2 linked regions of the Canis lupus familiaris genome follow. The protein of the gene in region 1 binds, or shares a complex with, the protein of each later gene. Links are inferred from orthologs where the notes say so. Each region holds a gene or a part of one and is shown on either strand. Other genes may lie near its edges.

Evidence for each region. Proteins that work in one complex are often made in the same cells at the same time.
Region 2: the proteins of ITSN1 (region 1) and AP2A2 are in contact, whole or in part, in a crystal structure (PDB 3HS8), measured with the Mus musculus proteins. The link is inferred for Canis lupus familiaris from reciprocal best matches to the Homo sapiens genes ITSN1 and AP2A2. Residues at the interface, in NP_034717.2 of Mus musculus: Asn841, Trp843, Ala844, Phe846, Ser847, Ser848; in XP_006536218.1 of Mus musculus: Glu308, Gly320, Val321, Glu324, Gln329, Gly331, Leu332, Lys333, Phe346, Gly348, Asn349, Lys350, Gly386, Ala387, Gln388.

Annotation. Positions count from the first base shown.
Region 1 is NC_049252.1:28,938,676-28,943,755, forward strand, and holds part of ITSN1 (intersectin-1), read left to right. Parts: intron 1-1,180; coding exon 1,181-1,443; intron 1,444-3,502; coding exon 3,503-3,652; intron 3,653-4,038; coding exon 4,039-4,179; intron 4,180-5,080. UniProt on the Homo sapiens protein: Adapter protein that provides a link between the endocytic membrane traffic and the actin assembly machinery. Acts as a guanine nucleotide exchange factor (GEF) for CDC42, and thereby stimulates actin nucleation mediated by WASL and the ARP2/3 complex.
Region 2 is NC_049239.1:45,788,467-45,792,569, forward strand, and holds the end of AP2A2 (AP-2 complex subunit alpha-2), read left to right. Parts: intron 1-1,143; coding exon 1,144-1,260; intron 1,261-1,349; coding exon 1,350-1,419; intron 1,420-1,544; coding exon 1,545-1,679; intron 1,680-2,368; coding exon 2,369-2,446; 3' UTR 2,447-2,556; downstream 2,557-4,103. UniProt on the Homo sapiens protein: Component of the adaptor protein complex 2 (AP-2). Adaptor protein complexes function in protein transport via transport vesicles in different membrane traffic pathways.

The DNA of each region.
Region 1 (5,080 bases):
TTTTTTAAATGTATTTTGGATATTAGCCCATTATCAGATATATGATTTGCACGTATCTTCTCCTGTTCAAAAAGTTGCCTTTTTATTTTATTGATGGTTTCCTTCACTGTGCAGAAGCTTTGTGGTTTGATAGAGTCCCACATGTTTATTTTTACTTTCAATGTTACTACTCCCTTGGAGTCAGTTCTAAAAAGCAGTGTTCCATGAGCACTGTCAGTGAGCTTTCTGCCTATGTTTTCTTCTACAAGTTTTGTGGTTTAGGTCTAACATTCAGCTCTTTAATCTGTTTTGAGCTCATTTTTTTGTCTGGTGTGAGAAGAAAGTGGTCCAGTGTCATTGTTTTGCATGTGGCGGTTGTCTAGTAGCACCACTTACTGCAAAGACTTTTCTTTTCCTATTGTATATTCTTGGCTTATTTGTTGTAAATTAATTGACCATTTAATTGTGGGTTTGTTTCTGGGCTCTCTGTTCCGTTCCATTGATCTGTGTCTGTTTTTATGCCAATAATACTGTTTCAATTACTGTAGCTTTGCAGTATAGTTTGAAGTCAGGGAGCATGATAGCTCTGAGTTTGTTCTTCTTTCTCTCAAGACTGCTTTGGCTATTTGTTGTCTTTTGTGGTTCCATATACTTTTGAAAATTATTTAAGCTCTATGAAAAATGCCATTGGAATTTTGATAGGAACAGCATTGAATTTAGAGCTTGCTTGTTTAATAATATTAATTCTTCCAATCCAATTCTGATCATGGAATACTTTTTCATTTAATTATGTCTTCAGTTTCTTCCATCAGTGTCTTATAATTTTCAGTGTGCAGGTCTGGGTTAAATTTATTCCTAGGTATTCTTTTTTATGCCATTGTGTAAAGGGGACTGTTTTCTTAATTTCTCCTTCTGATAGTTCATTATGAGTATATAGAAATGCAACCAATTTCATATTTTGATTTTGTGTCCTGCAGCTTTACTGAATTAAGTTATTGGTTCTAAAAGTTTTTTTGTATCAAAAAATTAAAGTTTTTTGGTGACATAGTGCTTATTCCTAAGGGCCCAGACAGTACGGAAGCTTCAGTTCAGGTTTGTTTTTACTACAAATTTCAAATGTGCCATTGAATGAATTTTTCCTTAGAAAATAGTATGTTGAAAATCCTGACTTTTCAAAGTTTTTCTGCTTCTTGTTTTAAAGTAACCTTTGAAGATAAGAAGCGTGAGAATTTTGAACGTGGCAATCTGGAACTCGAGAAACGGAGACAAGCGCTCTTGGAGCAGCAGCGCAAAGAGCAAGAGCGCCTGGCACAGCTTGAACGTGCAGAGCAAGAACGGAAAGAGCGGGAGCGCCAGGAGCAAGAGCGCAAAAGGCAACTGGAGTTGGAGAAACAACTGGAAAAGCAACGGGAGCTAGAACGTCAGAGAGAAGAGGAGAGGAGGAAAGAAATTGAGAGACGAGAGGTAAGCAACTGTAGAGCCAAGCCCACAATTAGCGTGTGTGCTCTGGTCTCCTTCTTAATTATTCAAGTAATATTAATATATTAATATGGTCTTTTTTTGCTGTAGTTCAGTGGTTTGAGTATATTCACAAAGTTGTGGGACCATAACCACTAATTCCAGAGCATTTTCCTCACCCCAAAAAGAAATTTTTAAAAAAAATTTATTTATTTATTCATGAGAGACACAGAGAGATGCAGAGACATAGGCAGAGGGAGAAGTAGGCTCCCTGCAGGGAGCTTGCTGCGGGACTCAACCTGAGCCACACGCAGACATTCAACCACTGAACCACCCAAGCATCCCCCAAGAAGAAATTTCTTACTCATAAAGCAGTTACTCTCTATTCCCCTCTTCTCCTGCCCTCAAAGCCACTCATTTACTTTCCACCTGTGTAGGTTTGCCTGTTTTGTGGACATTTCATATAAATGGAATCATGTAATATATGACCTTTTGTGTCTGGTTTCCACTTAGCATGTTCCCAAGTCCCAAGATGTAGCATGAATCATTACCTTATTCCTTTTTATGACCTAATAATATTCTATTACACAGATGTTCCAAATTATATTTATCCATTTATCAGCTTATGGACGTTTGAGTTGTTTTCTCCTTTTTTGAACGATTATGAATAATGTTTTTTTATTATGAATAATGTTGCTAAGCTCCAGCTTTTGATAACATAGTCTTGTAACAAACCACTGATATCAGTTAAGAATTTTTCAGATTTTTTTTTCTGCATTTATATATGTATATAGAAATATAAAAGGTTATATAGTGGAGAGATTGGGGGTTTGGTGCAATTTTTTTTTTTTTTTTTTTAGTGGTGCAATTTTTTTTAACCCTTGTAATAGTATCATACTAATTACATTGTTCTGTGCCTCTTTTTTCTACTTAAAAATAATATGTTCACTATATTTGATGGAAGGCTTCATAAATTTGGTGTCATACCTGGAGAGGGGCTAAGCTAATCTTTTACCTGAATTTCCAGTTCTAGCATTTTGCTGCAGATGCAGTGCCATTATTCTTTTGTGTGAATGAAATATATTTTACATATGGAAGATTTTTCTTTATAAAAACACAATACTTTGGTTTCATTTACTGTTATTGCCTCAGAAAACTTAGAACAGTAAGCCTCCTTTAATTCAAGCAAATGCATATGGATACTAACAGGGTTTTAACTTCCAGAATGGATAGCCAAAAGACAGACCACCTACCCTTAATGTTTTTTTGTTTTGTTTTGTTTAAAGACACTTTAGAGTATTTATTCAGAATTACTTAATAGTCATTCACCATAAGCTACACATTGGTACTTCCTAGAGTACTGGTGAATAGGTACTCCACCTTTTCCTTCTAGGCCCAAAGGGTAGTTGGAGGACCAGTACATATGAAGCAATTACAATAGAGTGCTAGATGGCTTTGGACATGTACTTTACCCAGCAGCCATCAGAGTCAGCTTTCAAAAGAGCGGACATTACTACAGAAATTGTGGAAGCTTATGTGGTGTTTAAAAAAAAAAACATGATGGGGGGGTAGGGAAGCAACAAACTTTTAAAACTTGAGATAAGTAATTTCTCATTTGATAGAAGGTGTTTTTGGCTGGGGGTACTTTTTGCTTTTGGTTTTTGTCCTGGGGTTTTGGTATACTTTACTGGATTAAAGATATTTTTCTTGGTCTTTACGAGTCAATAAATAAGAAAGAACAGGATTTTTTTGTTTTGTTCTTTGTTTTTTTATTTTAGTCACATCAAGCATTCTTGAAGGCATAAACAATCGAATTCTAATGATGAAATGAATCTTTCCTGGTCTCACCTAACTAAATAGCTTTTCTCAATATTCTTTTTTTTCCCCATAGAAGAAATACTAGATTTGTATAAATTTTGTTTTACTATTTTGTAATAGAAGCTTTTGTAGCATGTACCATTTTATCTCTAAAAGTAAGGCCTTACTAGATGTTATGTTTATTAGGAGACGTTGTATAATGTAAGGACTAAAATGTTAGTCAGTTGTCTGTTTGCCAATGCCACAGGCTGCAAAGAGAGAACTTGAAAGACAGCGGCAACTGGAATGGGAACGAAATCGAAGACAAGAGCTACTCAATCAGAGAAACAAAGAACAAGAAGACATAGTTGTACTGAAAGCAAAGAAGAAGACTCTAGAATTTGAATTAGAAGCTCTTGTGAGTGATGTTTGATTATGCTCTGGGAATATGGTTGACCCTTGAACAACACAGGGATCATGGGCACAGATCCCCTGTAGTCAAAACTCTTAACTTTTGACTCCCCTCAAACAAAACTATTAGTAGTGTGCTATGGACCAGTTACTTAACACATATGTTATATGTATCTTTAAAGTAAAGGAAGTTAGAGGAAAGAACATGTTAAGAAACTGATAAAGAAAAGTAGACACATTTACAGGACTATACGGTTATTTCTTGAAAAAAATCCACATGTAAGTGGACCCATGCAATTCTAACTTGTGTTGTTCAAGGGTCAGTTGTCTACTAACACTGAACCATTAGAAATGGTAATAATAATAATAGTAATTATTTTTCATTTGTTAAAGAATGATAAAAAGCATCAACTAGAAGGAAAACTTCAAGATATCAGGTGTCGATTGACCACCCAACGGCAAGAAATTGAGAGTACAAATAAATCCAGAGAGTTGAGAATTGCTGAAATCACCCATCTACAGCAACAATTACAGGTGAGAAAATACATTCCTTAACTGCTCTTAGGCTTACCTGCTTTTCCTCCAATTCATTCCATTCGTTTATCCCTACAAGTGTCCAGCATTTACATATACATGGAAACTAATAAAATTCTGGCTAGATTGATGGAGAAGAGGAGGAGGGAAAAGGAGAAAGAGCGGGGAAAAGTTGAAGAGGGAGAGAAGATGCAAATTCCCATTATAAGAAATGTAAGAACTGACATCGCTACAGATACTGTAGACTTGCAAAAAATTAAGGGAGTATTGTAAACAACTTGATACAAATAAATCTGACAACTTAGATGAAATGAAAAAATTCACTGAAAGATACAAATCATCAGGCTCAAGAAGAAACAGAAAATCTGAATAATACTTGTATATCTATTAAATACATTTTGCAGTTAAAAGTCGTACCACAAAAAAGCCTCCAGGCCCAGATGGCTTCACTGATGAATGAAAACTTTAAGGAAATAGTGCCATTTCAACACAAACATTTTTAGAAAATAGAGGAGGAAGGAATACTAATTTCTTATTTATTACCCCGATACCAAAACTAGGTAAGAACATTACAAGAAAACTATAAACCAGTATCTTTCAAGAATTTAAATTAAAAGATAATAATAGCATATTGAATCAAGTAAAATATTTTTGTAAATGGTAAAACACCATGACCAAGTATGGCTTATTTTAGGAATAAAAGGTTGGCTTAACATTCAAATTTCAACCAACATAAATCACCATACAAACAAGACAGAGAAAAAACTAACACATCTTGGTACATGCAGGGCAAAAAAAAATTATGACCCACTTCACCTATTCATGATGTAAAAAATAGTTTTTCATTTCTGATGTAACATTTTAAGATATATATCTACTTTTTTTTTTTAAGAGTTTATTT
Region 2 (4,103 bases), on another chromosome or scaffold:
TCCTAGGCGAGTCTCCACATCCTTCCTTTGGAGGTTGTTGTGAGGGCTAAGTGGGTAACCCAGATGAGTGGCATCACCCACCATGCACACTGCAGTGTTAGGTGCACAGCATGTAGAAGGTGTGTGCAGGGTCCTGGGAGGCCACTGTGAGACGGCGCTATTTCTGAGGTCCTGTGCTCTTTCATGAGAGAGAATGGGAGAGAGAGTGAGAGAGAGAGGCAGAGACATAAGCAGAGGGAAAAGCAGGCTCCCTGTGGGGAGCCCAATGCGGGACTCGATCCTGGGACCCTAGGATCACGACCTGAGCCGAAGGCAGACAGACATTCAACCACTGAGCGTCCCCATTTTGGTTGTTTTAAAAGACTTCTTTATTTTAGAGAAGGAAGAGCGGGGGGCGGTGGGCAGAAAGAATCTCAGGCTCCCAGCTAAGTGCAGAGTCTGATGCGGGGTTGATCCCAGCACCCCAAGATCACAGCCTGAGTGAAATCAAGAGTTGGACACCAACTGAGCCACCCCACGCCACCCCAGCGCCCTACGTTTTGATTATTAAAAAAAAAAAATGGATTTTGTATTACTACTCTGATCCTGGCTGTCATTTGTCAGTGAGTAGGACAGAATGTATGTGAATAACTGATTTCTGTAGGGTGTTTGTACGGTTCAAGTTTTGGAACAGCATGTTTTCGAACATTAAAAACACAGAGAACTGAAGACCGTACTTTGTAGAATTTAGGGAAATAGACCTGCAAATTTTTGTTTCATTCTGTAGGCAAATGCTTTTTTTAGTCTCTTTTCATAGCAAAAAGGAAAAATCCCATACAATTTAAACCAACTTGGAGTTGTAGGAAATGGGCTATGAGGAAAAGTGAGGAGATGTGGAAGCCTTAGCTGGGCCATCCTGCCTGAGGCCCATCCTTGACCTAGTCTGATGGGCCTAGTGGTGTCTGGCTGGAGCAGCACCCCTGGATGTGCATATAGAGGCTGTGCCACCCTTCCAGAACATTCCATCCCCCACCCCCCGACCACAGCAGCAGACATTCCCTGTGCCCTGCTGATTGGCACATTAGGGTTTTGGTTGTCTAGTTGAGTGTTAGGATTTCCGCTGCCCTTGTGCCCTGCTCACTGCGTCTCCATCTTACCCTGTAGGTATGGGGGAACCTTTCAGAATGTGTCCGTTAAGCTGCCTATCACACTCAACAAATTTTTCCAGCCCACAGAAATGGCTTCTCAGGATTTCTTTCAGCGTTGGAAGCAGCTGAGCAGGTGAGTGCAGGGCCATGGGGCAGAGGGCAGGGCTCGGTCCTCCCATACTGACCAGGCTCGAGGTGGTGACTCCTGATTATACCTCACAGTCCCCAACAGGAAGTGCAGAACATTTTCAAAGCAAAGCACCCGATGGACACAGAAATCACCAAAGCCAAGGTAAGGCCCACTGATGGGCATTCCCAGGGTTGGGGTGCTTCCTGGTCTCTGGAGGTTGGTCGGTTGTGTTATTGTCCCTCCAAGGTCCCCAGTCTCACTGCCCTGCATGCCTGTCTATTGCACAGATCATTGGGTTTGGTTCTGCACTCCTTGAAGACGTAGATCCTAATCCTGCAAATTTCGTGGGGGCTGGTATCATACACACCAAAACCACCCAAATTGGATGCTTACTGCGTTTGGAACCAAATCTGCAAGCCCAGGTCAGACTTCTTGAGGAAATTGTTATATACACCCAAGTTGTGTGCTTGTTGTGGTGTCACGTGTGTTCTAAGTGGAGTCATCTGAGGAGTTCCCATAGATGTGTACACCTGTGTAACCTCCACCACCCTGCTGGTACATAGACCATTTCTGTCACCCCAGAAAGTTCCCTGAGGTCTGCTCTCCATCATTCTCAACCTCTTGTGGAGGCCGCCACTGTGGGGCTGCTGTTGGGCCAGCCTGGCCCTGCCCTCCAGTACTCAGCCCTGTAGCTGTGTGTGTGTGTGTGCCCTTTGGGTCCCCGTGGGCTTACCTAGTCCTATGGATGGGCACCTGGGCTCTCCCAGTGTGGGACCATTCTGAGTAGAGCTGCCGTGTGCCTCTGTGCAGCTGTCTTTCCTTTACTTGGGATGAGCTGCAGGCTCCTTCGGTCTGGGCACTGCCAGTTTTCCAGAGTTCTGTGCCCCATCTGCAGCATGCTCCACATGTTGCTGCCACTTGTTAATTGTTAAACTTTTTGTATTTTAGGTGCTTGAGAGTATACGTGTTTGCCTAAGTCTTTGTAAAAATGTGGGTGCCTCCAGGGAATTGCTGAGCAGGGGAGCCCGAGGGGCCATCTGCTGTCCCAGAGTACTCTGCTGAGGGTGCACGAGCCCGCATGTGGCCACTGACCTGCCGTGTTCTGTTTCAGATGTACCGACTCACGCTGCGCACGAGTAAAGAGACCGTCTCTCAGAGGTTGTGTGAATTGCTGTCAGAACAGTTTTGATCCACGAGGATGGAGGATCAGGCTCCTGTGTCTTGCATTTTTCTTCATCTGTGTCATTTGTCTTCATTGCTGTGCTGCAAATAAACAGCCCTGTGTACAGGCGTCTCTCAGCCTTGCTTCTCCAAACCAGATCCCTTTTGGGTTGGAGTGGGGATACTAGTGTGTGTTCAAGAACGAGAGGCTGAACTTGGATTACAGTGGGGCCAGAAGAAGGGAGCATGGGCCCAGGGTCGGTGTTCATAGAGATCAAGACAGTTCTGTACTTAATCTCCCAAGTAAAGGGAAATGACAAGTTTCAATGAAAATACAGATTTTTTTTTTTTTGAAATGATATCAAAATGCTACTGCTTTATTGCTGATGGTTCTCTGATTCTCTGAGAGAAGCAGCAGCAGCTTGTCTGTCATGGGGCAAGATCTTAACTAGGCCGTTTGACTATTGTAGTGGGTAATGCCAGGTGCGGCAGATGTGTGACAAGGCCCATGGCTGGCACAGTGTGTCCATGAGTGGTCCGAGTGCCGCCTGCAGGGCCCTGGGTGTGTGAGCACAGTGCACATGGGCTGGCTGCAGCGTCTACTGGATGAGTCTCTGGGGCAGGGTTCAAAATACAGAAGTTGGAAATATTGGTGTTTATGTGACCATCGATGAGAGCACGGATGTCGGATTGAATTCTGTCTTTCCCAGCACTGTGGTCTTAAAGGGGTGTTGGTTTGTGCCACCTGAGTGAGGCCTTTGGTTTACAGTGCAGCAGCTGGGGGTTGCTGCTGGGTCTAGAGGATGTGTAGCCAGTCTCACTCGTCCCTGCACTCCAGAGAGTAGACCATAATCATACTCACCTTGGCCTTCCTTTGTTTGATCAGAGGGTCAAGTGTGGGTGGCAAAGCAGGTTCTGCAGGGTGAGCTACTCTTTCCTGGGGTGTGTGGGACCTTGTGTCCCACAGGAGGGCCTCTGTGTGTGGCCAGGGATCAGAGAACCATGCCGAGGGTGAGCTAGAGCCCAGCTTCTGTATGCTGTTCCTGTTCTTGGCTCTCGTTTGTCACTGTGTTGGCTGTGTCACAGACACAAGCAGCCTGTTTGCACCTGAGGTGGCTGGGGCAGGGGCAGGTCTGAGCCAGGGCCTCTGTTCTGTTGGTGGGAGGATGTGTTATATGGGTGAGGGTATTGCTGGCAGACTTGTCCTAAACAAAAACATCTGTTGTTGGCACCTAAGGGGCCCAGGGAGAGCCGGGGTCTGTGCATTCCCCTGCTTTGTTAGCAAGGACTGGGCTCCTCAGAGACATGCCCTGGGGGAGCCCTGTGGAGTGGCAAGGGGCACAGGCAGCCATTTGTTGCAGTGTGGGTCTCAGGAAGGCAACTGGAGGGAGTCACAGTTTGCGTGCTGGTGCCACTGCAGAGGCCCATGCTCAGAGCCCTGTACCTACTACTCTGTGTAGGTGTAGGTTTGGGAACTCATAGATGCCCAGGGTATAGGGAGACAACACAGAGCTCACAGGCCAGCCCCTATGTGTTGGCCAATGCTAGTTTATTTGTTATCTGTTCACAGTGCGTTGGTCTTGGCATGGCATGTGTGATGCCCCTCCCCAGGGTGAGCTTGGTTGGTGGGCAGGTGCTGATACTGGCTGGTGCTTGCATCCTCCCCTCCCTTCCCTTCCCCGGCT